Linked DNA regions of Diceros bicornis minor. The protein of the gene in region 1 interacts with the protein of each later gene in a biochemical or structural test. Links are inferred from orthologs where the notes say so. Each region holds a gene or a part of one and is shown in the gene's direction. Other genes may lie near its edges. The genes, in order: KIT, GRB7, PTPN6 and TEC.

Region 1 (7,826 bases):
CTCCTCCTGATCCCTCAGAATCTAATTGCTACCTCTTTGGGGGAGCCTCGTGAGATCGCCGTATAACATGATTTAGGGTTCACATGTCATCCTGCACATAGCTCTGTCAGGGTACATATAACAATTTAATCTTTGATCCCCTTACGTGTCTCTCTTCTTTTTCTGCAAATCTCATGGGGGCGGCATCTGTGTCTTGTCTGACTTTTCCTTCCCAGCACCTAATGTAGCTCATCTGGCATATAGAAGGTGTTCAATAAACACTGGGTGAAAGCTTGAACTAAGAGCATACACTACCTTCTCCCATCCTCACCAATGGTGAGGTGGTTATTGTTGGTATAGAGTCCACCAATGAGGATCACATATCCATTTCTCCCACTTTATGCACAAAACCTTTCAAATGGTTACTGGAAAAATAAGGACTATCAAGTAACAAACTTGAAAAAGATTATACCCTTGGTGTAGTAATTCCACCCCCAGAAATTTATCCTATACAAATAATCAGAGGCAGGGAAGTTTTATTCACCAAGATGTTCATAATCAAGTAATTTATGATAGGAAAAAACTGGAAAAAAATAGAGAAATGATTACATATTTAGAATTATGGTACATACATACAAGTGAACATTATACTGCTGTTATGTATTATGTTTCCACAGAAATTTTTTTTTTTTTGGGTGAGGAAGATTAGCCCTGAGCTAACATCTGTGCCTGTTCTCCCTCTATTTTGTATGTGGGTCACCGCCACAGCATGGCTTGATGTGTGGTGTAGGTCCATTCTCGAAATCCAAACCTGCGAACCCAGACCGCTGAAGTGGAGCACGCCGAACTTAACGGCTATGCCACGGGGCCAGCCCCCCAAAGAATTTTTAATGATCTGGGACAATGCTTGTGTTATGATTAGTGAAAAAGCTGGATAGAAAACTAGCAAGTATTGTAAAATCTTAAATTATACAAAGAAAAAAAAATCCTTAGCATAAGCAGAGAAAAAAGATTTGAAAGAAACACACCAAAATGAACGCTTCAGTAATTATATCTTGGGTGATTTTTGTTTTGTTCTTTATAATTTTTGGTATTTTCTAAAGTTTCCACAGAAAGCATCTTTACTTTTACAATCAGAAATTAAAAAATTTTTCAAGTTAGAGATTTGGGCTATGTGAGACAATAGTAGAACATCTTTTAAAATTTAATTTAATTTTTTATTGCAGTAACATTGGTTTATAACATTATATAAATTTCAGGTGTACATAATACTGAACATCTGTTCTATTTGTGCAGCATCATTTCGGCTTCTTCTAGTGAAAGTACCTCAGGTTTTCTTTGGGGACATATCCCTTCTCATTCTTAGGCCTTGGGATGTGGATGAAGTGGATACTCAACCCTGGCTCCAGGGGTGGGCATGTGAGCCAGACCTGGCCAATCATCATATTCCATCTGTCTGGCTTTGTGACTGGTTCCAAGTGGGCATGTGACTTAAGCCAAGTTAATACTTTTAAAGGAGATGTTCATGAGGGCAGAAAAGCTCTGCTTACATTGGTACTAATGAGCTGTAAGCCTAGAGCTGCTTGAGTGCACATGAGGACAGGGAATCAATACAGGAAAGTATTGCTGAAGGATGGAGATGCAGAAAAATGCATGTGTGTGTACACACACACACACTACCTTCAAGTCCTCACGTTTTTGAGTTCTTGGATCTAGGAAAGTGTAGAATGCTATCATCTCTGGACAATTATGAAAACAATAAATTATATACAATATAATTCATGAAAGGGTCCAGGGCTATCACAAAATAGAGTACAGAACTGGTCCTGTACATCCTACCTGAGATATCAAATATTTCCATCATTGTAAACGTTTGTATTGGACATGATCTAAAATATAGTTCATTCCCATAGCAGTTCACTCAGAGCACCTTCTAGATGCCTCCTTTTAGTACCTGGCTGGCAGAGGGTATTATTAAAAATAGCTAATCACCCTAAAGGCACAGGGACTGGAGGCTCTCTGCTGTGCCCGGCATTAAACCTTTAATTGCTGGATCTGAGGAGAGTTGGGGTATCTCAAGGGAGGGGTTGGAGTGAGGGGGCACTTAGGTGTTTTGGAGGAGTGGCTTTTTTCCAATAAGTACAGAAAGATTTCAATATTCTACCAACCAACTTGGTGTGTACTGGCAGAACATGAGCCCCGTTAGTAGATATTATAGTTTCTTATTTGGGCATCTGTTTTCTCCCCTGGACTGTGAATCCTCCTAGACAGGGACCTTGTCTTATTGATTTTTGTAGGTCTTGTGTCTACCTAGGTGCTCAACAGGTATTTGTTGAATGGTGAACATGAACAACAGTCACGCATTGTATAATTCCCTACTCTAGGTTTTTTTTTTTCCCCTTTGATAGAAGTTTCCTGCCTAGAATTAAATTGCAATATGGTCTCTTTTCATCCACCCTTCTGAAGACTTGTTATCCTCTCCAATATCAGTCGATTGAAGAAGAAAATTGTGAATTTTCTCTCTCGGGTATAATGTTGATATTTTAACTCATAGTCATTTTTTTCTCACTACGAAATGGATTTTAGAAATAAATCAAGATCCCAGAAACTTATGATTGCTTTGAGTGGAGCTTTTATCTCTGTCATCCTCAGAAAAAGCTGTGGTCTGAGGGCGCAGAGTACAGAGACTTTTGCATTTCACTTCTCCCACAGCTGTATGACTTGAACCATTTGCTAGGACATTGGGGTGTGGGTTCCCACACTTGACTATAAGGATTGTGGCAGTGCCCACATCTGTCTGTTAACAATGGTACTCCTTGTTCACAGTAGACACTTTAATGCTTGTTGAATGAATAAATAATCTTAAAGAGAGGCAATCATACCCATTGATCTAGTAGCAATAATTTTTAAGTGATTAGCTTTAAAAATCATTTTTCTTAAACCAACTTAGGTCCTATCAACATCAAACAGGAGAACTTTCAATGTTAAAGTGTGTGTGGGGTGCTGCTGGTTAATTATAAATTTTGAATGTTATTTTAGAGAAGAGTCTAGGTGTATCTAAATTATTCCATCGCTTTTTCTGATGAGCATTTCCCATTTATTTTCCATTGTTAAGCTCTCTGGAGGGGTGTTTTACTGGTTTATTAGGATGCATAAGGAAAGCTCATCATACCCGGAGCCACCAAAATGACTGGGTCTCCTCTCTATTAGCTGTGTGATCTTGGGCCACTTCTAGAACTAGAATAATAAACATATCTGCTCTACCTACCTCGCAAAGCTGTTATTGTGAGCATGAAATAATATTCAGTGTAAGGAGGAACTATAAAACCCTATACAGATACTGTTGGGACCTTCCCAGGCAGTGGAACCTGGCTTAGGAGAATCCTTTCACTATTATTTTGCTCCTGGTACAGGCTAGGGCAGCAGAAGAGGAACGGCTCGGATCCCCACCCCTGTAACTGTCTTCGCATAGAGGGCCAGAGAAACCGTATGGGGGACAAAAAGAGAAGGTGCCCAGAGGGTTTAGCACAACGATCTCGGCGCAAATGGGTGTAAAAACTCGGGCTCCCAGAGCAAACTTCGCAAGGCGCCCCTCCCCACTCCGAGGCCCCAGTCTCCAGAAAAGCCTCGGCAGGGGCTTGTAGGGCGGAGGCCACGCCGACCAATAGAAACCAACTGTGATCTTACCGGTTGAGAAGCAGGTGGAGAAACTGACCAGAAAGAATTACGCCGCGGCTTAGCCTTTTACCGCGGTGCCAGGCACCACGCTTGGTCGCCCCCACCCCGACTAAAAGAAATGGAGAAGACATTCTTCTCCCTCTGCCCCCAATTCCTGTCCACCTCCACCACTAGCGGCGTCCAGCCTCCTCCCTCAGGAGCGTGCTCGAGGGGCAGGCGGCGAACCTTTATTGTCTGGGGAGCACCTGCCAGGTGGCGGGCCCGTGCCCTAATCTGCGCGTGGTGCCCAGCTTCACAAAGCGCGCGGGCAGCACCACCCCCGTCCGGGAACCGCCTCCGGCGCCCAGACCACATCACAGGAGTGAAGAGACGAAGGGGCTCCGGGGTCGGGAAGCGGCGAAGAGGGTCGGCGCGCCCTCCCGCTCCCCGCGGGCTCAGACCCCCGGGATGAGTACGTCGAAAAAGCAGGGGCCAGACGCCGCCGGCAGGGAGCGAGAATCAGCCGTGAGGCAGGGAGGGGAGGGGAGGCGAGGAGGGGCGCCGAGAAGGGGCGTGGCCGGCGCGCAGGGGGAGGGCGCTGGGAGGAGGGGCAGCTGCTCGCAGCTCGCGGCTCTTGGGGGCTCGGCTTTGCCGCGCTTGGTGCACTTGGGCAAGAGCAGGAACGTGGAACGGAGCTCCGATCCCAGCGCAGCCACCGCGATGAGAGGCGCTCGCGGCGCCTGGGATTTTCTCTGCGTCCTGCTTCTCCTGTTCCGCGTCCAGACAGGTGGGAGAGCGCCGCGGGCACCGGGGCCGCGCCCCTGGCGCAGCCTGTGCCCCCGAGGGCTCGAACACGTTGGGGTGTGTCTGGAGAGGGGGCTGCTGGCCCTCCAGTGCCCGTGCATTTCAGCCTCTGGGAGGATGGGAGGCGTCCCCGGACTTTCCTGCGCCCTGCCTCGCTCACCTGCGCGAGGAGACCCCAGCCGCTGGTGGTGGGGACGCTGAGCTGGGGTCTTCCAGAAATGAGGGCAGCGAGGGGGTTTAGGCGTGAGCGAGGTGCAGGCTGAGGGCAGCGAGCTGCGTGCGAGTTTGGGGTTGCTTTTGTGCCGAGAGTGCGTGAGGGCACAGGCGGACGGGTCGGCGGGTCGCACCCAGCGCGTTATCTCCGCCGTGCGAGGCGCGGCCGCTGCTTCCTTTTGTTAAAAGTTGCGCGTGTGTGACCGGCGCACCGGGGGACCGGCCCGCAGCTTCTCAGCCGCGCCGAGGTCAAAGTTGGAGAGGCTTTTCTTTGCTCTGCGGCTGCTGCTTTCCAAACCGCGAGCGCTCTTTGTGCCTGGGAGCTGAGGACTGACCCACTGCCGCCTCTGCTCGCGGCGCCACTCGTGGACGCGAGTCGAAGGCTGCGGCGTCCCCCCGAACCCCTGGTCATGCTTTTGCACCGGGAGCGCGCCGCGTGCGGCTCTGGGGCCCGACCCCGCTAACCTGGAGGGGGCGGCTACAGAGGCAGCTTGGGCAGAGCGTGTGGAAAGCAGCCGCTAGGTTGCAGACTTTTAGCTTTAATAAGTCCGGTGCCAGAGGCTCGCCACTCTCTGCCGCTTGCTTCCCTGCCACGCGCCTGGAAGCGGCTGGTGGCTGCGTTGCCGCTTGCTCTCGGGGAAGGCAGGGACAGTGCGCTGGGACGCCGTGGTCCCCGACCCCGGCCGCCTCCCACGCCTGGTCAGGCTAGCGGGGCTCTGCAAGCCCCCGGAATCGGTGTCTGCAACCTGTAATCGCAGGTCCCTGTTTTCTTTGGGAATTTTGAGATTCGCAATACTCACTCCACGTGATATCTATATATAAGGGCTGCGGGAGGTGAAGGGTGGGAGACGGAGTGGAACTTTGCAAATCTTACTTGGATCTTAAAGCTGTTGTGAAAATCCGGTTATATCTGCGCGGGAACTTGGGTCTTAAGGCGGAGGAGAAGGATTTACAGGCTCCTCAGTCAGATTCCTGCCCCTTCTTCCCTTTTCTCTGGGTGTCGCTGGTGCGCGAGCGAGCGCAGGTCGCCCAGCTAACCCCTGGAGCCCTGCTCGCTCTCAGGTCATTTTTTAAAAAGCTTTAAGGCTACCCTCATGATGTGAGGACAGAAAGTGAGTCTGAACTGGAATTCAAGGGCTCCAGAGGAAGCATCGCTATGAACTATTGTGGGGCTCTATGGTCAGTTTTCCCATAAAGTCGCAAGATGCAGGGTCCGCCTTCCCGGTCTTGGAAGGCATTGTCAGGGCTTACCTGTCGGAGAAGGGGGCCCTTGCATCTGGACTCGTGTGAGGTAGGAGGGATCGTGAGTGAGTGTCCGGATTTCGTGGTGGATTTGACCGCCTAAGCTTCCAATGAAACGTTTGGTCTTTACATCTTGGCATTTTTAATTTCAGTTAAGGTATGTAGACCGGAAGGGAGTAAGGCACTAGAAAGACAGACCACGCAGAATATTTCCCTTTTTAAAAATTAAATGAATCATTTGCTTCCTTCTTCCGCATCAGTAGCTTGCTCCATCCAGTAGGCTTTTGGCAAAGGGAATTTTAAGGTCTGGCTTCTGGGGGGCACTGTGGTGTAGTGACAAAGCCTTGTGCTGCCGTTCTGGTTTCTCTATGCCCTTGGGCAGGTCGCTTAAATTCTGGAGAGCCCAGTTTCCTGAAGGGGGCAGTGAGGCATCTGCATCATGAAGGGTCCTTTGGATCCAAAAATTCTCCTCTTCCAGTGTTCTGAGTGTAGACTCTACACTTTTTCTGAGTTTTTTCCTGATTCCTTCCTGCCTCCTTGAAATCTCTCTGCCGCCTCTGTCACAGGGACCACTTGGTGGTATCCTACTGGTCTCCCCCTGGTTAAGGCAGGGAGATGTGCTTATGCTGCCCTCTCTTCAATCCACACATGCTGGCCTGCTATTTCCCTTTGAGGGCTAGGAGGTGCCAACTTGCAACTCTACAGGACCCTCATCACCTACCCCCCCCCTCCCCCCAGTATTTACAACTCCTGTGCCCGGCAGGATGAACCTGCAAGGAATAGTGAATCATACCTTCCCCATGTTCCTGCAGATGTGAGCCTAGAGTCATACCCAGCAGCTGGACACAGGATATTCTGGCTTAATATCCTGCTGGAAGTAATATGATAGTCTTATAAAGGGATTCCAGATAATTCATTTATCCCCATTCTGGTCTTTCCTGCTCATCCACACGTTTTTCCTTAGGACCTTATAAATCGTGTATGCTGTGCATTTACAGCACGTTTTCTGATGTGTCTTAAATTTCACGTTACATGTGTGTTGTACGTAGTTATTGCTTTTTATTTGGAAACTGTGTGCCAGGGCCTGTGCTGGAGCCTTCACCTGGCATTTCCAGTCCTCTCAACAAGCACCGGAGGTAGAACTGTTGCCATCCCTACCATTTTACAGCTGGGGAAACTGGCTGAGGAGAAGTCAGTTCCCAGAGTCATCAGTGGTGAAACCTGAGATTGGCCGCGTGTGCCCAGCTGTATATCCATTCACATGACTTACCCATTCGAAACTATTTAATGAGGACCTGTTAAACGCCAGGCATTGTTGGAGGTTCTGGGAACACAAGATGGCCAAGTCATTACTTTCCCAATTTTGGTGAAAAAGACCTAGAATTGCCTGTCTTATGATGTCTGAGTTCGAGTGTTCTCAGTTTGAGGGAAGTCATTAAATTATAGCCTTGGGTATAAGGGCTTTAGGTGTGAGCTCTCCCATTCCAGGTAGAGTCTCTCAGAAATGAAGATAAACTGTCCCTAAAATGATGGTGTAAGCCAGCTGAAAATTTTTTCCATCCCCCACTCCAAAAAATAAAAATGGTCTTAGCATTATATACTTGTGGCATACTTGTGAAAGAGAAACCCCCCGTAATGGGAATACCATTGGCCATTTACCCTGGACGAGCACGGTGAGATATCATGGCAGTTTACCGCTCACAACTTTTCTTCTCCCAAAACAAATTCTCATCAGAAATGTGCCAAGTATTTTGTGTGCTTCCCTTGGAGCACGTTTATGTACAGATGTTGTTGTGGTGATGGCTTTTGCTGCTGTTGTTGACGGCTGCTAGAAGTTGCCCTTAGGATTTTGACTCATTTCCTCAAGTCTCTCCCAGCTGATTAGAGAAGGACACCAGGAAATGAGCGCGGTGTTTGCGGAATTCTTGAAA
Region 2 (7,571 bases), on another chromosome or scaffold:
TACTGCTCCTTCACGGCACTCGCCAGCTCCAGGTAGGTCGCCTCGAAGCCGCAGGGTTCACTACGGAGACGATACCTGGGGTCCGCTTGGGTTTCGGGAGAGGGGCCTCTGGGGACCCACTCCCGTCCGGTCCGGACCCCCCACCGGCCAAAGCCGCTCACCAGTACTCCACCATGATGCGGACCCCACTGCCCGGTTCGATCTCCCCGGGAGGGGGCGCTACCGACGGCGGCCCCGGCTCCCCACTCATTGCGGCCCGCTCGGCTCCAGCCGCTGCTTCCGGGTGTGCGCTACGCCGCGGACACGTGACGGGGCGGGGGCCGCGCGTTACGTTCGGGCGCCCCCTGCAGGCCGCGGTTGCTGCTACGTTTTGCCTCTATCCCAGCTCGAGGGCTCCGAGCGGGTCGGACCGGTCCAGACCTCCTTCCCGGGCGTGGCTTCTCAGAGAGCGGGGCTTGTCCAGCAGCTGGTGTCTGCCGGGCTTCACGGCCTATTTAATCTAATGAAATATCTTAGACTGCAAGGCGCATGCCGGTTTACAAAAGGAAGACAAAGTGGTGGGGCAAGAGGACCCAGGGCCTGGGGTTTGGTATGGAATAGTTGCCATTTGTCGCTAACATGTTGATGGTATTTTAAACCACCCCATAGTCACACACCCAAATACTCTGACTCTTAAAACTCTAAACTGTAGGCACAGTCTGGGGCAGAGACCGCCACCCCCCTGCATTCGGAAGCTTTAGGCTTTGGGGTCTCCTGCTCCTGAGGCTCTGTGCTCCCATCACGTGCACCCAGTTTCTGCAACTCCCGTCTCTCCCAGCCTCCCTACAGGGCGGGCATCGTTATTACCATTTTGTAACTCTAGAAATGGAGGCTGTCTCGCTGCCTCTTCCTTCCCACTGTAGTATACTAACAGGTCACTCACTTTAAACCGTTAATTTTTAAACAATTCAGTGATGTATCAAGTTGTGCGACCATCACTACAATCCAGTTACAGAACGTCTCTATTAACCTAAAAAGGTCCCTCCTGCGTGTTTGCAGTCAATCCAGCCCCCAGCTCCAGCCCTAGACAACCACTGATCTGCTTTCTGTTTATAAATTTGCTTTTTCTGGACATTTCATATAAATGGAATGATACAAAATGTGGTCTTTTGCTTCTGGCTTCTTCAGTATAAAGTTTTTGAGGTCCAGCCATGCTGTAGCATGTACCAGTAGTTCCTTTTTGTTGGTGAGTAGTATCCCATTGTATGGCTATACCACCTTTTGTTTATCTATTAATACCAGTTGATGGACATTTGAAGTTTCCAGTTTTTCCCTATTTTGAATAACGCTGCTATGAACGTTCATGTAAGTGTCTTTGTATGTATGTGTGTTCTCATTTCTCTTGGGTAGATTCCTGGGAGTAGAATTGCTGGGTTTTATGGTAAGATTATGTTTAACTTTTTAAGAAACTGCCAAACTGTTTTACAAAGTGGCTGTACCATTTTCCATTCCTGCCGGCAATATACGAGGATTTGTTTCCCCCTTACCTTGTCAACACTTGTTGTCTGTCTCTTTGATTATAGCCATCCTGGTGGGTGTGAGGTAGTACCTCTTGTGGTTTTAATTTGCATTTCTCTAATGACCAGTGATGTTAAGTACCTTTTCATGTGCTTATTAGCCACTCGTATATCTTATTTAAAACATCTATTCAAATCTTTTGCCTATTTTTAATTGGGTTGTCTCTTTATTATTGATTCATAAGAGTTCTTTGTTTATTCGGGATACAAAGTCCCTAATCAGATACAGGATTTGCAAATATTTTCTCCCAGTCTTTGACACTTTTTTTTTTTAATTTTCTTAATGTGTCTTATAAAGTGCAAAAATTTTCAGTTTTGATGAAGTCTGATTTACCAACTTTTTCTTTTGTTGCTTGTGCTTTTGCTGTTGTATCTGAGATCTCTGCCTAACCCAAGGTCACGAAGATTTTCTCCTATGGTTTCTTCTAGAAGTTTTATAGTTTTAGCTCTTACATTTAAGTCTACGATCTACTCTGAGTTAATTTTTGTACATTATGTGAGGTAAGGATATAAATTCATCTTTCGGCTTGTGGATATTCAATTGTCCCCAGAACCATTTATTGAAAAGACTATCCTTTCCCCTATTGAATTGTCTTGGCATCTTTGTCAAAAATCAATTGACCAGAAACTTAAAGGTTTATATTTGGACTCTTGATTTTGTTCCATTGATCTATAAATCTATTCTTTGTTGTTCTTTTTTAATTTAAAAAATTCATATACAATTTATACACAGTAAAATTCACCCTCTTGAGTGTACTTCTTTGTGAGTCCTGACACGCTCATTTGTACATCCACCACCATGACCAAAATACACAACAGGTCCATTACCTCTTCACAAGTCCCTGTGCCCTTCTATTGTCAACCCTTCGCCCTCCTCCCCAACCCCAGATCTGCTTTCTGTCCTTATGGTTCTGCCCCTTCCAGAAAGCCATACAAATGGAATTCTACAGCCCTCAGCCCTCTGAGTCTGGCTTCCCTCTCCAACCTATCCTTTGACATCCAGAGTGATCTTTCCAAAATAGAAATCTGCCTCCTCCCCCATGCCTCTACATAAGCCCAGATAGACCTTGCAGGTCTGGCCTCTGCCCATAGGCCCTGCCAGTCTGGACAGACAGGATGGATGGCTCTTAAACCTGGTTTACAGAACAACCACCTGAGGGCTTGTCAATACCACACATTCCTGGGTCTTGGCCCCAGAGACTGAGATTCAGTAGATGGAGAAGGGCCCAGGGATCTGTTTTTCATATAAGCCGAGGGAGATTTGGAGGCAGGTGGTCACAGGCCACAATTTGAGAAAAACATCTGAGTCCAAAACACTTGTCTTTCCCCATACCTTCCATACCTGCTCGGGCTTACTTGTGTGGCCTCCTCTCCTTCCTTCTCCTCCGCCCCCACTCTGCCTCTGCATGCTGTGTCCCCTCCTGCCTCCTGCCAAGGGCTTTAGCACTTGTTTCCTCATGATGAAAGGTGCCCTCCCTTCCCCATCCACCAATTCCAACCTCCTCCCTGTCCCAGACAGCTTCCCCTCTGCTCCATCATCACTTCCACAGAGAAGTCTTCCGTAAATCCCTGGGTGAGTCATTCTCCCAGAATAGTTGTCACCTGTCATTTATTAATTGTGTGTTCTTTGATTAACATCAGTCTCCCCGACTGGGCTGCGTGAGAATAAGGGCAGAGTCTGTTTTTGTTGCTCACCACTGTCTTCCCAGTACCAAGCATGGGGTTGGCATATAGTAGGTACTTCACAAATATTAGTTGAATGAATGAAGGAATGAATGATTGAGTGAATTGTCTACTGTGCTTTGCACAAGCTGCTCCATGGCCCAGGTGACCTTGCCCCCTCCCCGACTTCTTTGCTTGGTTCACTTAACCTGGTTTTTCAAGGGAAACCCAGTTTGGAGAAAGTTGAGGCTGGAGCCACTCCTTAATGGTCCCCCAGGGCAGACCTCTTATCACCCTGTGGATGTTTGTTTACCCAACTGTCACCCACTTCAGGCTGCTGCCTTTGATCTCAGCCTCCCAGGTCCCCTCCCGGCCCTCTCGTGTTTGCTTAGTGCTGAAGGAGAGAGCTAACGTGATCGCTCTAAGGGAGTCCCTTGGCACCTGGCCAGAGCTTTCCCCAGATCACTCCTCCCACCAAGAGACCCTGCCTAAACCCTTCTATTTCAGAAGAAGAAGCTGAGACCCTGGACTTTGTTCAGAAGGGAGGATATACCCTGGGTACCTCTGAGGGGCTAGGGTACAGCCTGGCTGGCTAGACTGTGGCAGGAGGTCAAGGGGCAGGCCATGTTGATGGACGACCCTCTGGCTGGCTTCCCTCGTTCGCAGAGTGCTCTTTTCCCCAGGAGGTGAGACCCAGAGCAGCAGACAGGCCCCCTAGCTTGGCCAGTGAACTGACCAGGTTTGAGGAGGGGCATGCGGAAGAGTGGGCGGGGCGTTTCCCCTACCTTCCAGCCCCCAGCCCCTCCCTCCCAGGTCGTGAGGACTCTAGATCTTCGCTCTCGAGGCTGTTCAGTTCGACTGTTTTCCCCGCTTCTCCCTTGGCACCTGCTGCCGGGCTAAGAAGGGCGAAAACAATTCCAGCCAGCGTAGTCAGCGAGTCCCCGCCCCTGCTCCTGTGCTTCCTCCTCCCAGGCCCCTCCCCCGGCCCCGCCCCCACCTGCCCAAGATAATTTTAGTTTCCTTGGGCCAGGAGCCCGGACACACAGGACTGACCCTCCCCCCACTCCCACTTCAACGTCCAAAGTCGGGACACCTTCCTACTACCTGTAGAGAAGAGGGAGTGGATTTGAAATCAAGTCGATTTCGAATCTGGGGTCCCTAGACAGAGCCGGACTTCGGACGCTGTGTCCTGCTACTCCTGCTGCGGCTCCTCCAGGTAAGGGGACCGAGATCGGTCCCAGACGACAACCTGCTCCCACCCCCAGCCGCACCAGGGCCCCAGCTGTGCCCGTCTCTGGGCCAGGAGCTGGCTGGCTGCCCAGGTGTGCGGACAGGGGCCCGCCTGGCTCCCCTCCCTTCCCCCCTCAGTGATGTCAGGCCAAGGGCGGGGGCAGGAGGGGGACAGGTAGTTAAGGGCCTGGCGTCTCCCTCCCTAAACCAGTGGCCCCAGCCAGGTGTACCAACGCCCGGGGTCCAGGTAAGGACCAAAGCGATCACTTCATCTTGGGGGTGGGGAGCTCCGGAAGGTCCCGGGTCAATATGGAAAGATTCGGCCTCCTGCTGTGTTACTCTGACGGCCTCACTTTCTTTTCCTCCAGTCTCCCATCCCGCCCTTTCCCTCCTCACCATCTGCCCTCAGTCTTTCCCAAATTCTCATTTCCTGTACTCCTTATTCCTTCCTTCCCTCTCTGTACCCGCCTCCTCAGCCCCCCGGAGAAACCAGCTGATGGAGATGGGAAAGTAAGATCTCAGATTTTCTCTCCAGGAGACGCGCTTTGCCGCTGAAACTAGCCCCTCCCCACATTCCCAGAAAGAGAGCTAGGAGAGGGTCCGAATATCGAGGGAGCTGCCCCGGGTCACTCCTTTGCTTAATTTGATTTTACCCCAGTTTGAGTTTCCCAAAGTCTTTACTAAACACCGACGTCTCCGCGGGGGGAGGGGGGCATCCTCCAGTTTGGAGGGCAGTAAAGGTGAGGGATTCTCTAAATTGCTAGAGCTCCGTCTCTCCGGGAACACAGGGTCCTGTCCTTAGATGGGGGGCTGGGGCGGGATAGGCCCGGGGATCCCTCCCGGCTTCAGAATGAAGTGGGCTCGGAAGGCTGGAGGGGCCGATGCCGGGGGGGGGGGGGGGGGGGGGGGGGGGGGGGGTTTGCAGCGCAGTGGGGCCTAGGGAGAGTCTGTGGTGTTGGGGGGCAGATGGTCTTGTCTGTTTGAATAGTCTGGGGAAAGACCCGAGTGGGGGTCTCCCTGGCACGTTGGGGATGGAGAATGCACCTGTCCGCCATTGGAAGGCCTCCCAACCCCACTGTCCCTTAAAGAATGCCCCCTCTTGGTCGCCTATCCTGGACTCTGCTCTCCCTTCTCCCCCTGATATCCTGCTGGGGGGGCCCTCCATGAAGGCAAGCAGCCTGTAATGATTAACTCCACAGACAGTCTAGCATTCTTCCCAAATTAAACTTTAAAAGAGCTGCCCCCGCACCCCCTTGGGTGTTTTTTCCTGATCGAGAGAGTGGGCGGGGCCCCAGGGTCCTGGGCCCTGCTCCCAACTCTGGGTGACCCAGGGGTTTCCCCACCTCCTCACCTGGGCCCTGCACCCTGAGAGCTCCCCCAAAGGTTAAGCCTTCCCCACTACAATAAATCCCGATGGGGGTGGGACGTGGAGTACTGGGCCAGACTGGGGGCCTTTCCGCCACCTCCAGGTTCCCAGCCCAGGCCTCTGCCCTACCAGCCCCTCCCCCCACCCTGGAAGCACCCAAGGTGGCCTTGTTTTCTATCGGCTCTAAACACTGGGCCCTGCCACCCGCCCTTGGGGCCAGCCAGGTGGGGCAAGATTCAGGAAGTAAACAAGGAGGCAGGAGGCTGGGAGGGCGGGAAGGAGGGTGGGGCCGGAGCCACCGGGGCAGGAGAGGCGGTTAGGGAAGCCACAGTTTGGAGCTGCAGTGTGGAGGGGACAGATTGATTTCGGGGGTCAGTTTCAACAGAAGCTTCAGATCTCTTGGGAGGGGGCCTGCCCAGGCCCCACAGCTAGGACCCCGTTCTCCTCCCATCTCATCTCTTTTGTCCTGACTGCCCCACTCCTCTTTGCCTAGAAGGGTCTGGAGGGCAGCGTGGAGGGATGTAAAGCCAAAACCCAAGTCTTAAATCGGCCCTTCTGCCCTCTGACCCCAGACTCTAATCGGATTTAAATCTACTCCCCTCTCCCCTTCCAAACACTGTGCGATTCCTGCCCGATTCCTGCCCCCACTCCTCTGTTGGTCTCTGACTTCGTGGTGGGGGTGGCCCCTGCCATCCCTCCCCCTAGTCCTCCCCGGAATGAAGTCACCAGGGCTGTTTGCCAGAGGTTAGACAGAAGGTGGGAGTCTGGGCATTGTGTTTTGGTGTTGCTGTACTGATGTTTGTTGATGTTCGATAGTGGGTGTGTCTTGCCCTTTGCACCACAGGACTCTGAGCCCCCTCCCTCGTTCTCCCTCCAGGCCTTTCCCTGTCTGCCTGTGTCAGTCCTCTTGGGTGTTTTGACTTTCCCCTCCTGCTGCTGTGGCACCCCTCTGGCCAGGACACCCAAGAAAGTGTGTTAACAGGACCCTCATCCCCCAGAGGTGTTGCAGACGAGTCCCCTGGGCCTTCTGAGTCCTCCCCTGGGCCTTCTGAGTCCTGGGTGCTAGGGGTGGGCAGCAGCAGCAGAATGAAAGCCTGGTAGGGCCCAGACAGGAGAGGCAGTGCTGTGCGTTTCCTTGGGTGAGCCAGGGGCACCACTGGGAGGTCGGCTCCACTCCAGATGGGCTTCTGAATCCGGGCCGGGCCTTTCTTCTCCCCTTCCTGTGTGAGGGGGCTCCTGGGCTGGGTGGTGGCTACAGGACTGGGGGCAGATTGCAGGTCCCACCTGGACTGGTGCAGTTGCAGTCGGAGGTAGGCCAAGGGTGGGGAAGAGGAGGTGATGTCAGAGGAGCCTCAGGCCCCGCATCCTCCTCCTTCTCCCCTATCCTGTTCCCTGCCCTGTGCCTCCCCTATTCCTCCCAGGCTGGTAGGATGGGGGCAGGAGTGGAGGGGGTGGGTAGAGGCAGGGTTGTTTGTGTTTCTCCTAAGCCAGGAAGTTGTTCGGATGAGTCAAGGTTGAATGGAGAGCCCCAGGCAGTACTGTCCCGCCCCACCCTGACTCACCTGTCCCCCAAATCCCCTCATGCCCTCACTTAAGGGTCAGGGGCCTGCCCCGTCCTGGGAGGGCAATCCCAGGGCACCCCAGGCAGCCTAACAGCACTGGCCCAGTGGCCGGAGAGCGGGCAGGGGGCTGGAACTGATGAGTTCTCCCAGGCCCTCCTGGGTCTCTGCCCAGCCAAAGGGGTCTTGGTTCCTGTG
Region 3 (8,160 bases), on another chromosome or scaffold:
TTCCCAGGCTTGGCTCCCTTCACCCAAATGCATGCTTTTCCCCCAATTCTGCCTTCTGGTGACACCTTCCTCCTCTCTGCCCTCCAGCGTCTGCCTCGGTGCACCCTCTCATTGACCCCCTGGCCTCAGGGTCTCACCTTACCCGGATCCCCTACCCAGCCGGGACCCTCCCCAACCCCCTTCTTCCTCACCCTCTGCACGAGAATGAAGTTCTTCGTCACCAGCTCTTTGGTAAGGATGGAGGTTGGAGGTGGGGAGGGTCTAGTGAAAGAAGGGCAGAAAGGAGGAATTTGGGTGAGATTGGCCTAGTTGGGCTTGGGGAGGGATGAGGAGGTGCCCAGAGGAACCAGGATGGAAGTAGGAGGGCTGAGGCCCTGCCCAAGAGAGGCATAGGTTTTAGTGCCAGGCTAAGAGGTTTGAATTCTAACTCCCCCACTGGCAACTTGCAGGACTGGCTGTTTCCTAACCTTTTTAGTCTCAGTTTCCTCTGTATGTAAAGTGGCTGGCTCTCCCCTGGCCCAGAGTAAGTATCTGTACCCCATCAGTCATGTGCCTCCTGCTCTTTCTGCCCACAGCTACTCCTTACCGGGACCTGCCAGCCTCCCTCTCTGCCCCGATGTCAGCAGCTCACCAGCTGCAGGCCATGCACGCGCAGTCAGCTGAGCTGCAGCGCTTGGCGCTAGAGCAGCAGCAGTGGCTACATGCCCATCACCCGCTGCACAGCGTGCCCCTACCTGCCCAGGAGGACTACTACAGGTACTACGACACCCCTTGGCAGGGAGTGAGGGGATGCAAGCTCAGCTGGCCTGGCAGCTGGCAGGGTGTGGGCATGGTCCAGCTGGGCACTAGGCTCCTGGGGGAGGGAGACCTGGCCCTTCTCTTCCACCATCCCCCTCTGTGAGAGGGGCCAGGTCAGGGTCGACCTCAGTCTCTCCTCTCTCTGCTCTGTACCCCCTCTCCCCTAGTCACCTGAAGAAGGAAAGCGACAAGCCGCTGTAGAACCTGCGATCAAGAGCACCCATGGCCCCTGCATCTGGACCTTGGAGGCCTCCTTCCAGGCCTGCCACCCAGAGCCGAGGAGGGGTGCTGCTCAGTTGAAGGGCCTCGCAGCTGAGCAGAGGGAGGGAGGAAGGGACAGATGGAAGTCCAAGGCTCCTGTGGTGTGTGGCGGTGGGGAGGTAGTGGGGGTGGGGGCAGAAAGCGCACAGTATCTTGGACCAGGTCCTTCTCCCTTGTCCCCCTGCTTTCTTCCTCCCCCATGCCCAACCCCCAGTGGCCACCACCCCTCCCCCACCCCGTTGGTGTGATTATTTCATCTGTTAGATGTGGCTGTTTTGCGTAGCATCGTGTGCCGCCCCTGCCCCTCCTCAGTCCCTGTGTGTGCGCGCCCCCTCTGCGATGTATGTCCCTTGCCCCTCCCCCACATTAATAATTTATATATATAAATATCTATATGACGCTCTTTAAAAAACATCCCAACCAAAAACAACCAAACAAAAACATCCTCACGACTCCCCAGGAAGATGGCTGTGACTGGTTCTTTGCGGGCTATGGTGGTGGGCTTGGGATGGGGGCTGGGGTCTCTGCGCAGGGGTCCCTGGAGAGGAAGCTGTGGAACCGGAGAGGCTGGCAGGGAAGTGGGAAGGGACGGACCTTCTGAAGGCACTGAGTGTAGGGACCCTGGAGAGTTGGAGACGGGATCTCAGAAGAGCCCGGGGCCCTGGAGCCCTGGCTTCCTAGTGGGGGTCCTCCCGGTGCCAATCCCCTCCTTCCTGCCAAGGCTGGGAAATGGAGATGCTGGAGGCCTGGGACAGGCACGCTTCGGACGTGGTCGGGTCTGAGAACGTTTTTGCAACTGGTCCCACGGCTAGGAGCCACCAGAGTCCTGAATCCTTTCCGTGGAATGGCTAGAGAAACGGTTATGAGGCGGAGGGGCAGGGGCCGTAGTTTCGGTGGGTTAAAGCGATTGGAATCCTATGGTTTGAGGAAGGAGCGAGTGACAACTTCAAGCTTAGAAAAGAAATTAGAGGGCGTACCGCTGCAGCGAACATGGCATCACAAGGCCATTTTAGGAAAGCGCGAGAGGTACTCTAGCTCCAAGCTTTTACTGCTGCGAGTCACTGTCTCCGTTCTTAAAAACTAAAGGGGTGTGACTGGCTTCTTTCTCAGCCAATCAGCATCGGTCTCATTTGCATAGAGCCTTAACAAACGTTCACAAACTCCAGAAATCAATGATATGAGTAAGTTCCTTAGAATACTGCTTTTCCTTCTGAAAGTTACACTGTGCCTCGTTGCTTATACAGTAGGAATTAGAAGAACCCCGTTCTGAGCTCACCCTCACCGATAGTGGAGTTCCTGGCTGTGCCGCCTTCTCTCCAGGCCTTTCTTTTTAGTGTTACAGCTCTTTTAGAATTTGTCTAGTAGGTTTTCTGGTTGTTACTGGAAAACCCCGTCACCGCTCGTTTTGAACAATAGAGTTAGTTGAAATGGGGTGGTGTCTACTTGTCGCTAGTACTGGAGTATTAGAAATTCGCATTTAGTGGTTTTGCCGTTGCCAGGAAGTCCCAGCAGGGAGACCAGCGCTACGCGGAGAGGCTTCCGGCTACGCTGATGCGCTTCCCCTCCGCCCGCATCCCCGAGAGCCGCTGCAAGAGAACCCTCTTTTTCTTTGAGCGTTAAGTTGGTTCCGCCGCACGTGCGGTTTTTGTTGCCGTATGGCGTCCGCCTCGGCCCAGCCCGCGGCCCTGAGCGCCGAACAGGCCAAGGGTGAGAAGCATGCTCGTCACAGGGTGGGCGGGCTGCCTGCGCAAGGAGGGTGCAGGCGGAGGATACGGAGCGAGAGCTGTGGTTGCATCGCCGGAGAACGGGGGCGAGGGGTACCGTCCTTACTCTTCCAAGAGGTGGTTCTTGTCTACTAGAGCGAGGGATTCGGGAGTCGAATTTGTCGGGTTACTATGGCTTCAGTCCACTAATTAATTCCTTGCCCTCTTCCCTGCGCTCTTGGCTGGGCCCGCCGGCCATGCTCCGACGCCTATCCCGGACGCCTCCCTGGGATGCATCTGCGGCACAGTGGTCCTGGCCGAGGTAATCCAGGCGTTCTCGGCCCCAGAGAACGCCGTGCGCATGGACGAGGCTCGGGACAACGCGTGCAACGACATGGGCAAGATGCTGCAATTCGTGCTGCCCGTGGCCACGCAGATTCAGCAGGAGGTTATCAAAGCCTATGGTTTCAGCTGCGACGGGGAAGGTGGGTCGCACGGAGGTCGGGGAGAGGGCGCTGTATCCGTCGGGTCCCTGAGCCGTCGTCGTCCTTCTCGCCACACGGCGGCAGTCACCATCTGACTATTAGCACTCAGAGCCCAGGGTCTACTCCGAACTTGTGCCAGGCGATGCCCCAGGTGCGTTTTGTCGTTACCGTAAGTGGTGATATGGTTATCCCATGTTAGGATGAGGAAACAGACTCTAGCAGTAAACTAAGTGCCCGAGGTCACAGCAGAGCTGGACCTGAACCCCTTCTGAGAGCTTTTAGTGATATGTCTGCGTGTCAGTGGGCTTCTGCAGCCCATCCAAGGTGTTTCAGCTAATCTCTGTTTGAGGGTCAGCAGTTCAATTCCGTTGAGATCATGGTGTTCCCCAAGGATGTTGTTTGACTCAGCCCAGCTGGCCCAGGGCCCTCATGTGTCCTGGTTATATAGACTTGGGATCTCATGGGTGTTCATACTTGTGGTTCTTGTGACTAAATTGCTAAAATGGTTCACCTGATAGTGAGAAGCGCACTGCTTGGGATATCTTCGTTAATTGCATCCTATCCAGTTGTGCCTGGTGTAGACCAGGAAGTGGTTGATCCGAACCACACAGGGTAGGGACCTGCATGTGTCTTGTGTTTTGCAGACAGCTACCTGGCCAGAGGAGGCGCAGCCAGTGACTCATGCTCCAGCTGCTCCCCCCTGCCATCTTGGGCACACCCGTCCCTTTGGGGTGTGGGCTGACGCTCCACTCCCCCTTGCAGGTGTCCTCAAGTTTGCCCGCTTGGTCAAGTCGTATGAAGCCCAGGATCCTGAGATTGCCAGCCTGTCAGGCAAGCTGAAGGCACTGTTCCTGCCCCCTATGACACTGCCACCCCACGGGCCTGCTGCAGGTGGCAGCGTGGCCGCCTCCTGAGGGTTGGCTCTCCCGTGTGACACTGCCTGGGAAGGGAAGATGTTGGTGTTCCAGAGGATAATAAACCTGCCTGTGACTTAGCCTCCGTGTCAGTCTTTTGTGACCCTGACAACCCCCACCTCCTGGCCCCAGATTCCCTCTGCCATTCCAGGCTGCTCCATTTCCCTGTCCAGATCCTTCCTATGCTCCTGTGGGGCCCAACCCTCCTCCAAGACAGGGTGGGAGGATGCAGGTCCCTCAAAATGCTGGGTGAGTGGGTCTGCACAGGTGGCACCTCCTCTGAGGAGTGGGGTTTCCTGGCTTTTCCTGAGGCCTTTTGGCTTCTGTGCATGGAGAGACTCCCCCATTGGTTTGTGTTCCCTTGGCCAGGGTTACTTCCTGGTCTTTGCTTCCACCCGCCCTCCCTCTGTCAGCTTGAGCGCCAGGTGGAGCTCCAGGTGGCTCCTCCCATCCCAAGGGAGGGAGGCCCTGGACAGGCAGGCGGGCCCTGGACTACCGAGCAGGGCTGGAGGGAGAAGCAGGCTGCTGTAGGCTGTGTGAGGCCAGTCCCGCCCCACCTGTCCCTTTTCCGGGGATCATTAGTCCTGGGGCTTGTCCCTGCAGTGCTATTGGCCTAGCGGTCAGCTTCGAGGAGGAAGTGGCCGAGTTCCGAGCGTTCTTCCTCACCTGGTTTGGGCCACTGTGCACAGCTGTGCCCCTGGCTCAGCCCCGCCCCTTGTGGCCCTCTGATTGCGACTTCCCCATCTCTCTGGGGAGATGCTGTCCCGTGGGTAAGTCCCCCGCTCCACCTGGGTACCACAGTCTCCTGTTACTTTGGGAGGGAGAGGCGGGGCTCATGCTCACTTTTAACAGGTGTGAGACTATGAGTGCAATCTGCTGCTGCCTCCTGCCCTGGGTCTGCTTCCTGTCTCTACATACTGCTTCCCCCCAAGATGTGAGGAATCCCAGGCTGATTCATGCCTCTCTGCCCCACCGCTCCTTTTCTCTAGGACTTTCCCCTGACAGATGTGTATTTATTCTCACCATTGCATTTCTCCCTTGCTTCTGTCGTCTGCTTAGGACCTGTGCCCCTGGGTAGCCCACGTCACCTGAAACAGGGTGTCTGAAATGCAAACCTGAGAAAGCTCCCTGTTCCCACATGACTTCCCATCTGGCCTCCGCTCCTCTTTCTCTCGGTTTCCTGTCACTTCCCCTCCCCTGCATCATTCATTCAACACATACATGCCGAGCATCTGTTACAGGCCAGGTACTTTTTAAGGTGCTGACAATACTGTAGCAAACAAGGTGGACATGGTCCCTGCTTTCACGGAGCTTCGTTCCAGTGCGAGGTGACAGACTACACAAGGAACCCAATTAATAGGATCATTTCTCAGAAGTGTTATGCAGAAAATGAAACAGTTTCATGTGCTAGTGAGTGACAGTGTGCCGCTGGCATCACTAGCTGGAGCGGTCAGGGAGGGCTTTCCTGAGAAGGTGATGCGGGAGCTGAGACCTGGATGATGAGGAAGAGTCAGCCATGTGGTGATAGTCACGTGCCCCTGGGCGGAGGGAGTGGCGAGTGCAAAGGCCCTGCAGTGGGAACAAAAGAGACAAGAACAGCGCCTGCCGCAGAGTAAACCAGCGGAGAGGGAACAGGGACAGGCAGTTAGGCCTTGCTGGAGTTTGCATCTTACAGTGAAGACCAGCTTGGGGTGTTGGTGTTTGTGGGTTGGTCTCCCCAAGTCCTGCTGGTTCTTCTCACACGTCTGCCCTTCCGGTTTGCACTGCTGCCCCCAGTGCACACCTCGTCACCCTCAGCCCCCTGACAGGGCTCTCATTGAGTCTTCTGGTCCCTCATCCTTCCCACACTCCTGCCACGGCTGTTTTCCTACCAGGTAGCTGGCAAGGCTTCTCCCGGTGCAGAGTCCTTCCTTGGTTCCTCAGCCTGGCCTTGTAAGACCCTTTGCAGCAGGTGCCAGCCTCTCTGAGCAGCTTTGCTCCAGCCATGCCACTCTGCTCACACCCCAGCATGGCTCAGGTGGCCCTGTGCCTGCCCGCTCGGGGCCTTTGCAGAGGCTGCCTCTGTGGGAACACCAGCCCCTCCGCTTCCATCGTGGGCTGTGCCGGTGCCCTCTGCCCCATCCCCCCGCACTGCAGCCTCCAGCGGCGCGGTTGGTGTGGTGGAGACGGCAATAGGCCCTGGCATCAGACAGCCTTGATTTGTCCACCTTCCCACTCACTTGTGACCTTGTGCAAGTTGCTTAACTTCTCTGAGCCTTAGTTTTTGTTTCTAAAATTAGGCTAAGACCTACCGAATAGGGTTGGCATGTGGATTAATAATGTAAAGTAGGGCCGGCCCCGTGGCTTAGCGGTTAAGTGCGCGCGCTCCGCTGCTGGCGGCCTGGGTTCGGATCCCGGGCGCGCACAGACGCACCGCTTCTCCGGCCATGCTGGGGCCGCGTCCCACATACAGCAGCTGGAAGGCTGTGCAACTATGACATACAACTATCTACTGGGGCTTTGGGGGGAAAATAAATAAATAAATAAAATCTTTAAAAAAAAAAATGTAAAGTAAAAGCTGTTGGCACTTAAACCCTACTACTAAACATTAGCTTTTTACATCAGTATTTGGGAAATACTCTTAAGTCCGTTTATCAGGTGGGGATACGAGGCTCCGGGAAGTTCATAATTTTCTAGAAATTATTTCACTTTGTTTGCTCTTCCAGACCACCTATCTTTCTGTATCACCATTGATCTCTATCTCGACCTTTATCTCCCTGCTTCCCAGGTGAATTTTCTCTTCCGAATGATTGGTTGCTTGCTTTTGTAATTCTCAGCCTCCTTGAGCCTGTTTTCCTCCGTTAAACAATAATTCCTACTTCACAGGGATGTCTGAGGCCCAATGGGGTTGTGTGTTTGCAAGTCCTCTGCAAACTCCAGAGCACTTATGTCAAGGGGAGGTGGAGGGGAGGTGGTTACGATTCATTTTTCTGTCAAGGGACAGCAGAGACTGTATATCTTATCCTAGTGTTTGTCTGTCTTCCAGCTTGACTACTTGGCTTCAGAGAAATTCCTGCCTCTTCCATGGGTCAGGAGTTTCTGGGTGCCTGGTTAGTTTCTTCCTGCCAAGTCAGTTTAAACCCCGGAAGGAGAGAGGCCTGTGGCCAGGGTGCAGCAGATGTTTAGTGCCGAGCACGGACCTGCAGTTTCGTGTGTGGTCAGGGTGGTGTGAACGTGTGTGGGTGTTTGCACCGGACCAGGTATGTGTGTAGATGGGCATGGATGATGAGGTGCATGTGGTGGGACCATGTGCCTAAATGGAGGCTTGTATGTGCGTGTATGTGTACTCATCTATATGTGACAAGCAGCGTGTGCAAGTGTAGGACCAGGAGGCTGGACTTGTGACCACATATGTGAACGGGTATTGATGAGCTTGTTTATCAGACATGTACTCCGTGAGAAGCGTGCTCAGCTTTGAACATTCGGAGGCGAGCAAGACTAGCAGCAACTAGAGCAAAGGGCTCTTCCTGCCCCTCGCTGTGAGGGTGTTCATGGTCCTTCAGGGTGGCCGTCCAAGACTGCAGGGGTAGTCAGTGTTAGACCATGCAATAAACAGGCCAAGCAAGTTCCCCAGGGCACCGGAAGGGAGGAGGAGCTCTTTTTAGGGGGGAAAATTGACGTTTGATGTTTCAAAAGATGATAAAGTAGTCATCATAGGAAAAATACACTTTCATTGGGCTTTAACATTTTGTTATTTTTTCCTTATTTTTAATTGAGGTATAGCATACATAAGGTGCATGAATATTAAGAATACAGCCTGATGAATGTCACACTTATACACACCCGTGTATACACCACCCAGATCAAGATTTAGAGCAGTCCCAGCACCTCAGATGTTTCCCAGAAATTGCCATCTCCCAGTCAATTTACTTATTTTTATAACAGCAATACATGCCCATGCTACAACGTTCAAAAAAGTATGAGGGAGAAGTAAACGTCTCTCCCAGCCCTCTCCTCCGG
Region 4 (8,110 bases), about 2.9 Mb from region 1:
GTCCAAAATCAGTTTCACTGGGCTAAGACCCAGGGGTTGGAAGGGCTGGCTCCTAGTAGAGGCTCTAGGGGAGAACCTGTTTCCTTGCCTTTGCCAACTTCTAGAAGCTGCCTGCATTCCTTGGCTTGCTGTCTCTTCCTTCATCTTCAAAGCCAGCAGTGTAGCGTCTTCAAATCTCTGTCTTGCTGTTTGTATGTTCTCTGCTTCTCTTATCACATCTGATGAGGATGAACTCTGATTCCAATCCTCCTGCCTCCCTCTTATAAGACCCTTGTGATTACATTGGGCTCACCTGCATAGTCCAGGATAACCTCCCCATCTCAAGATCCTTCACTTAATCACATCTTCCAAGTCCCTGTTGCCATGTAAGGTAACATTCATGAGTTCTGGGGATTTAAGATGTAGACATCTTTGATGGGTCTTTATTCAGCATACCTCAAGGGGATGTTCCTTACTTGTAGCTAAATCGAATTTTAAATGACTGACCTTTCCACCAGAATGTAAGTGCCACTGTAGCAGGGAGTTTTGTTGTGATCATTCACCAATGTTTTCTCAGCTTCCTGCTAATGCAGTGATGGTCTCATTTTCACGACTGCCACCACTGAGAAGGAGGCAGCTTCAAAAAGATCTGGGTACAGAGCATTCCAGGCAGAAGAAACAGCAAGTGCAAGCCATCAGGCCAGTATGACTTTTTAGTCATACTAATAATATCGCATACAACATTTTATTGTAATATAGCTCATTTTATTTGAATCTTCATAAACTATCAAGTCGTTGATATTCTGGATCCATCTGAAACACTCTTCAGATCCTAATCCAAAACACAAATTGACCAAACCCAGATGGTTCCCCTCAATATCTTTCTCATCTTTACCTGTTTCTTCTTCTGAGTATAATCTGGTTTTACCTCTGTGACATCTTCTCTGACTCCGTAATTTAAAAAGTTTTTGCTTACTATCAAATCAACATAAAAACATTATACAAGGAAATTTCTGGCAATGTTGCACTGTCAAGAGTGTAAACTCTGGACTTGTACTGCTGTATGTTCACATTCTGGCTCTGCCACTCACTGTGTGACTTTGGGCAAATTACGTAGACCTTCTCTGCCTCAGTTTCTTCATCTGTAAAATGAAGATAACAACTCTACCTACTTTGTGCAGTTATTGTGAGACTTAGACGAATTAATCTATTGCACCGAAAAACAGAGCCTGGCACATAGAAACCCCCTCAATAACTGTCCATCATAATTCTTATTTTCAACCCAACAATTTTTCCCACATAATTTTTATTTAGTTGTAATCATAGGATGCATAAAGCATGTGTTCTGTTTTTTCATTTAATGTTCATAAGTTTTCCTCCACATTTCTTTTTATTAACATAGATAGAATTTTTAATAACAGCCTGACATTCCATGCTAGTGATATATCTTGCTTAAACATTTCTCTATTATTGGACATTTAATTATTTTATTATTCTAAGTGATGGTCTTATAAAAGTACTTTGCATATAATGCTTTTTCTTTCTTTTGAATTATTTATTTAGCAACTGTTCCCAGGAGTATAATTTTTAATTTTGTGTCCAACAATTAAAACTCTTTCCTTCCTTCTGTGTAGTTCCAAAGAAGTAACTACTTTCAGTACATGATGGAAAGAGAGGCAGATATGACACCACCACAATGATGTCATCTTCATGGATGAACAGACTCTTGGTACAAGACTGACAAGGTCTGCATTATCATCATCATTGTTGTCATCATTCATTCATTCAACACGTATTATTCACCTGTGATGGGCTAGGTTCCCCAGAGCATGAGAAGCTCCAAATACAAACACTACTTTATTTACAAATCTTCCAGGTTGATCCTGTGTGTTCTTATGCACAATGTGCAATCTATATGCGAGTTAAAAAGAGGCATTTTCTTCTCTCAAGGAACTAAAATTATGTCAACCTGATATTGCTCATCTAAACACACAAATTTTATAGAAGCCATAGGGCTATCTTGTAAGAAGGGGGTCCCTGTCTCCAAGAAGAAGAATACATAAATGCCTTTTATTCTGTATCTCAATTTTATTAAAATAAAGAAGGCAGTAATAATATTGTTTGAATCTTCTCCTTGGAGGCAAAGGGAGAAATCCTTTTAAGTCCACCAACAGATTCCTTCTTTTGATGAGGGCTCCATGTAAAAGTTTTGAGTCATATAGGCCTAAACTTTGTATTCTGTTTTCTATTAAAGCTGTTGAACTTTTCCCATCAGAAATAATAAGATTTAACTTTTTTTTTAGCCTACCACATCCTGAGTTCAGTTTGACACCTTTTTATTGATGTAGTTGAAGTCCTCTAATAGTCTCACCTCTTTCTGTCTCTCTTTTTATCAACACTCTCCTGAAAACAATTACCAGTATTCTCTGCCACTTGCTTTGGAATGATATAGGTATATCACCTACTTAAACTATTTGATAATGTAATGAATTTCATTTTCTTCAGGAAGTAATATACGGTTATGGAAACTACCCCCGTTATCACCGATAAAGAGTTATATTGATGTAGATGTTTTGTTTACAGATCAGTTCTCTGGTTTTCTTGAGAACTAAGAGGACAATATAGACATTTTCATCTCTTTTAATTTTAAACTTTAGGAAGGGGTTATATGAGGGTATGGGTTTGCTGCCCTTTCAATCAAACGTCATAAACTTTGAGAGCCTCCTTTCCATTGAGTCAGAAATAAGAGCCACCAGAGTCACCCAGCTAGCACAGACAAAGTGAGTTGGAAATCATTTCTTTTAATTACCACATTATCAGTTAACCCCTTAAGACGGTGGCTCTTACCTTTCTGGGATCAGTCCATCTGATGAAGGTTCCAAGTCCTCTCACTTATGCGTATATGTATGTGAGCATTTTTCTTGGGAGAAAACCAACTTTTTTTTACCGTAAATATATAACTGTAACTCTCTCTTTCTCTCCTTCATACACACACACACAATTTTTTGCATACAATTTCAGAAGTTTCCTGACCTCTACTCCCTCAAAGAACACCTGCCCTGGGGGAAATTATGCTAACTAGTCAACACAAGTATCTGAACCGGATAAGAGGCAGAAGAGAGGGGCTAGGAGGAGACAGTAGATCACAAAAGAGAAATTGTGCTAAATTCATTCTGAGGACAGGTCACTATACTCACCGCCCGACCAGAGCAAAAGAGGATTTGGAATCAGAAGGCCTTGATTCAAATCCGTGCATTCTTCCCATCCCCACCCTGCCCCCTTTTCCTAGTTAATTGTATAACTTTAGGCAAGTCATTAAACCAATACCGTCCTCAGATTATTTTTTTCCTGTAAATTGGAATCTTGTCTGACTTCTCAGTGTTATTGTATGATCAAGGGAGAGACAATACAGGAAGGCATATTTTTAAGTCCTAAAAAAGCAAGAAGCATGATAATTATTAATGCATTTGCCATTCCCTTAGCTTTATCTTCAGGTTGACTACCTGTCCTATCTTCATCTCTCTGCTCCGCTGTCACCTCCTCAGAGAAGCCTCCACAACCACCAGATCCAAAGTGGCCTCCCCCTCCCCATCACTCTCAATTCCATCACCCTGCTTTATTTCAGTCAAGACACTTCTCACATATGCACGGCTTCATTTTTACTTCCTTATTGATTACTTATTGTCCTTCTCTCCACACTAGACTAAAAGCTCCTTGAGGGTAGAGTCCTTGTCTTGTATTCACCAGGCCTGCAACAGTTCATGGGACATGGTGGACACTCAAATTTTGTGAGTCAGGATAGCAGTGGTTTAGAGCCCAGATTCTGGAGGAGGACTACCCGGATTTGAACCCGAGCTTTTCAATTTACTAGTTAGGCGACATTTGGAAGGTTATGCGACTTCTCTATGCCTCACTTTCACCACAAGTAAAATGGGGGATTGTGATAACATACACTTCATAGAAAGGTTAATGCGTGTCCAGTACCTACAACAGTGCCTAGCACATAGTCTTACGCAAGAGCAGTTTTTTACTCTTCAGTGAGTGAGTGCAGTGTTACTACATTAAGAGTGAGGACACGTGACCATCTAAGTGTATCAGATATGCTCCGCTGCCTCAGGTTTGACAGTAAACAGACTTATTCTTTTGGTAAAACTCGTTGCTTCGCTCCACTGCACCGCATCAGCCGCCTGGCCTGCCACCACTCAGCGGAAGAGAAGGCTCGGTCCCTAATTCCGACAAAGTCCCCGGTCACCCACAGGAGGCACTCGGGGTTCTCCCGGGCCGGCGGCGTCCAGCCGTCGAGGGGCGGTTCCCCCGGCGTAGGTGGGCCGGCCCTAGGGAGGACCAGCGCCGCGTCCTGGAACACAAGGGACGCTCCTGCGACTTCTCTGAAACTCCCGCTGCGTCGCGGGAACCTGGACGCGCCTCCGATTCACTTGGCCTCCAGGTTCAAATCCGCGGGCAGGGCGGTGGAAACCTGTCGCTGCGGGCCTTAGCGATGGGGGGCGGAGCGATCGGGGGCCGGGGCGGGCCGGGGCGGGGGCGGGCGGGGCGATCGGGGGCGGGGCCGGAGGGCGCCAGGCTCCGGACTCCGCGGCGCCGGCGGGACCTCACTCTCCAGGGCTTGGCGTAGCCGGCGCGCTCCAGCCAGGTAAGGACGCCGCGGGCCGGCAGGGGCGGCCTCGAGACTGCGGGACCCCGGGCGGGAAGGGTCGGGACTGGGATGCGTGCGGCCAGAGGTGGATTCCACAAGCCTAGAAACTGACCCTCGTGGAACGAGGAAGGATTTTCACCCCTCCGCACCACCGCGAGCACAGAGCGCCGCGCCAGGTGAGGCATCCCGTCCCCTTTGGTCCCGGAAGAAGGGACAGGTGCGCGCCCCGGCGTAGCCGCGCTTTCCGGGCGGCCGCTGCCTCTCCGCCTCCCGGCTCCGGGACTGGCCTCTCCCGAGGAGCACCTGCCCCTTTTCCCCTTGGGTCCCTGGGCCGAGGCCGCCCCGCGGCAAGTTCAGCGTTGGGTTCACTTCCCAGCTGCGCGTCAAGGTTGATTCCTCCTCTTTGCTTGGGCAGCAGCGCAGTCTTGATTGCAAGTTGTGAGAATCGACGGCGACATTCCACAGTTGCGCGTGTCCGAGTGCCTCACCCCACCAAGCTCAAATTTTTTTATTTGGGAAATTGTGTTTGAATCTTGAAAACAGGGGTTCGATGAATCCCTGTATTGCAAAAATTGGGGCCTTGACCCGGGAGTGTGCACTTTTCCTCGGATCCTACATTTCCTTTGGTTTGATTTTTATTTTTAATGGAAGAATAACACGTGGCTCTGCACCAGGTTCGGAAACAGGATCATCTATTGCCATTCTTTGGAGACTGGAATATTTGATTAGAAGGGTTGATCTCAATGTTAACTTGGAACAACAGGATGGCTGGTGGCTAAGTGGGTTTGAAGGTTATCCAAAATAGTTAAGCGTTTTGAGCATATACCCTGTATTTTTCCAGTGAGTGCCCATTTTCCTCTTAGGAAATTCTGAGCATTTACTTTCTTCTGGATGATTCTCCTCTAAAGAGCTGGGGAGAAAAAAACAACCCCAACAAACCAATAGATTTCCCAAATAAGTTTAGGATTTAACAGGTTAGTTTGTGATGCTGGTAGCTCCTTAGTTGGCAAAAATCACGTTATAGAATGTCTCCATATATGGAGAAGAGTGTGTAATTTTCTCATTATATATTTGAAAGTATTTTTTAGCTTAGTTACATTTTCAGTGTTTGAGAAAGATCTATACTTTCCCCATGTCCCAGTTACTCTGATCAGTATATTACTACTCTTGCCAGCTCATGATGCTTACTGCAGCGTGTTTATGTTAATGATCTTGATTCTTCCCACAAGGATGTGTACATTTTGGCCCTGGGAACTGTATAGGGCAAGTGTTGTAAATCATGCAAATCAGTGCTGTGCGATACCTTTGCCCCACATAGGTCCTTGAACTAAAATTTTCACATCTCCCCAAGTAGGAAAGAATATAGAATATAGAATATTAATATAGAATATAGAATATTAATGTATGCTCTAGCAGTTTCAACCTGTTTATGTACTTATTCTGTATCAAGATCAAAACAGTTGTCGTGTTTTCTCAGCAGCTAGTTAGACCTTTAGGGCAAGGGCTGTGTTTTATCAAATCATGGTAAAGCTCAGAGAATGGCGACCTTTGCTGCCTGAAGTTGACCCTTGACAGGGTGGTTGCGGGGGTTGTGGGCAGTGTCTGGCCACTTTTATGCTTGGGGAAGAATTGTTGGTCTCCCTGCCTTCCTCTGGGTATCCAGAGTTTTGGGAGCCTGGGCCTTGGGCCTCCAAGCGCACCTCTGCCTGCAAGTTCCTCCAGGTTAACCAGGTTGGTGCCTCCTGTCCGCGCCCCAGCTTTTCCAGCTCCTTAGCTTCCATCCCACTCCACCTCTCTCTGGATTCCCACCCCTGGGGAGAATTATTGTTTAGGGCAGGGATACTTGGTCTGCATAGTTGACAGGGGTGTGGACCCTCAGCCTGGTGCTGGGTGCCCTATGGATGCTCAGTATCTCAGCACTGGATACTCAGTATCATCAAATATCTGTTGGTGACAGTGTCACTTGTTTCAGAGCCCTTACTGTGCTCTCTTATCCAGGCTGCACAGGGAAAGTGGAGTGACTGTGGTTGAACCCAGAATAACCACTTTGGGGGCCAGCTGCCTTGATTGGATTAGGGTCCTAAATTGGGCGTGTAAATCTGTTAGAAAGGAGTGAAATTGGCCCATGGTCACTGGCAGTTGTAAAATTACCCCGTACCCTGTGATTATGCCATGAGAATAGCTTTGTCAAAAAGCTCCCCAGAGGAGAGGGGCTTAGTAGTTGCCTCCACCTCCCAGCTCGCCTCCACCTGGGCTTGCTCTGCCCTAGCTCAACCAGTCCTTTCCTGGCCTGGATTATAACTGTTAACTTTTCCACCATGTTTGACTGCTCAGAGCTCGGATGACTACAGCTACTGTGGTCTAGAAGTGAAAATTACATTATCTTTTGTTTAGGGGAAACAAGGATGGAATTTTTCCAAACAAATTGTTATTACGGGAACAAAGAAAAAGCAAATAATGGAAAAATGTGTGGGCATTGAAGCCAATTTTGTTTTGTTTTGTTCTGTTTTTTAGTTTTAAACTTTTATCCAAGTTACATTTTTCCCTCTCCAGAAACAACCACTGTAATTCTTTGAGCTGGTCATTTTGACCTTATTGCTTATAGTTGATACTTCTTGAGTTTTTCAGTTTGAGGCGTTATCTGTTGACTTCCCATTGTGGAAGATGATGACTTGGCTCTCTTTTTTCCTCTAAGCCCCAACCCAACCACAGCTTCCTTATTTTCCCATCCTTGCAATAGTTAAACAGTAATTTTGGTTAGATCAATATTCATAGCTAAGCCAAGTACAACTTTTTGTTTTCATTGGAGTTAATAATTGCTTTGTTTGTTCATTTGGTTAGTTTTTTAGGTACTCGTCATTAATTTAACCCAAAGCTCTTGGCCAGTTTTCTAAATCTTCGCTCAGATGCATCAGGTAGTCTATCAATTTCATTTTCCCGAAGAAGCTGCCCCTGAGCCTCTTGGCTTGTTCTAACCTGGCCTGGTTGCCCTCTCTACCCATAGGGCACAGTTGTCCGCTTGACCACCTCCGTTTGGCATCATCCTCAGGATCCCCATCATCTGTCTGCTGTGTTGGATCTCCTGTTACCTGTAGCACATGTCTTCCTCTATCTTGGTAGACTGCCTTGTTTTGGTAGAGCACATCCTCAAGGAGCTTCCTGTCAAAGATGCATGGGATGTCTATTTTTTGAGACAATGAATGCCTGAAAATATCTGTTTTCCACTGACAATTGATAGTTTAGAATTCTAGGATGGAAATTTTGAAGGCATTGTTCTGTCACCTTCTGGCTTGTGGTATTGCTGTTGAGAAATTCAGAACTGTTTTGATTCCTCAGTTTTTGCCAGTAACCTGTGTACAAGTTACAAACTTGCTGTGTCCTTTTGGAAGTTTATAGAATTTTCTTTTGGCCTCCATAATCTTGAAATTTCATGATACTGTGCCTTGGTATGGGTCTGCTTTCATCCATTGTGCTGGG

Evidence for each region.
Region 2: the proteins of KIT (region 1) and GRB7 form a complex in vitro, tested with the Homo sapiens proteins (3 studies listed by BioGRID and IntAct, with this or other methods). The link is inferred for Diceros bicornis minor from reciprocal best matches to the Homo sapiens genes KIT and GRB7.
Region 3: the proteins of KIT (region 1) and PTPN6 form a complex in vitro, tested with the Homo sapiens proteins (2 studies listed by BioGRID). The link is inferred for Diceros bicornis minor from reciprocal best matches to the Homo sapiens genes KIT and PTPN6.
Region 4: the proteins of KIT (region 1) and TEC form a complex in vitro, tested with the Homo sapiens proteins (2 studies listed by BioGRID and IntAct, with this or other methods). The link is inferred for Diceros bicornis minor from reciprocal best matches to the Homo sapiens genes KIT and TEC.

The regions. Positions count from the first base shown.
Region 1 is NC_080747.1:42,550,624-42,558,449, forward strand, and holds the start of KIT (mast/stem cell growth factor receptor Kit), read left to right. Parts: upstream 1-4,281; 5' UTR 4,282-4,356; coding exon 4,357-4,423; intron 4,424-7,826. UniProt on the Homo sapiens protein: Tyrosine-protein kinase that acts as a cell-surface receptor for the cytokine KITLG/SCF and plays an essential role in the regulation of cell survival and proliferation, hematopoiesis, stem cell maintenance, gametogenesis, mast cell development, migration and function, and in melanogenesis.
Region 2 is NC_080757.1:39,388,931-39,396,501, forward strand, and holds the start of GRB7 (growth factor receptor-bound protein 7), read left to right. Parts: upstream 1-4,125; 5' UTR 4,126-4,434; intron 4,435-4,464; exon of another isoform or gene 4,465-4,695; intron 4,696-7,571. Other genes in the region: MIEN1 (migration and invasion enhancer 1), read right to left, coding at 1-60, 162-250. UniProt on the Homo sapiens protein: Adapter protein that interacts with the cytoplasmic domain of numerous receptor kinases and modulates down-stream signaling. Promotes activation of down-stream protein kinases, including STAT3, AKT1, MAPK1 and/or MAPK3. Promotes activation of HRAS.
Region 3 is NC_080756.1:54,821,764-54,829,923, reverse strand, and holds the start of PTPN6 (tyrosine-protein phosphatase non-receptor type 6), read left to right. Parts: upstream 1-4,686; 5' UTR 4,687-4,917; coding exon 4,918-4,931; intron 4,932-8,160. Other genes in the region: ATN1 (atrophin-1), read left to right, coding at 88-231, 576-756, 966-999; C17H12orf57 (protein C10), read left to right, coding at 2,715-2,766, 3,071-3,247, 4,010-4,161. UniProt on the Homo sapiens protein: Tyrosine phosphatase enzyme that plays important roles in controlling immune signaling pathways and fundamental physiological processes such as hematopoiesis.
Region 4 is NC_080747.1:39,661,524-39,669,633, reverse strand, and holds the start of TEC (tyrosine-protein kinase Tec), read left to right. Parts: upstream 1-4,561; 5' UTR 4,562-4,630; intron 4,631-4,707; exon of another isoform or gene 4,708-4,809; intron 4,810-8,110.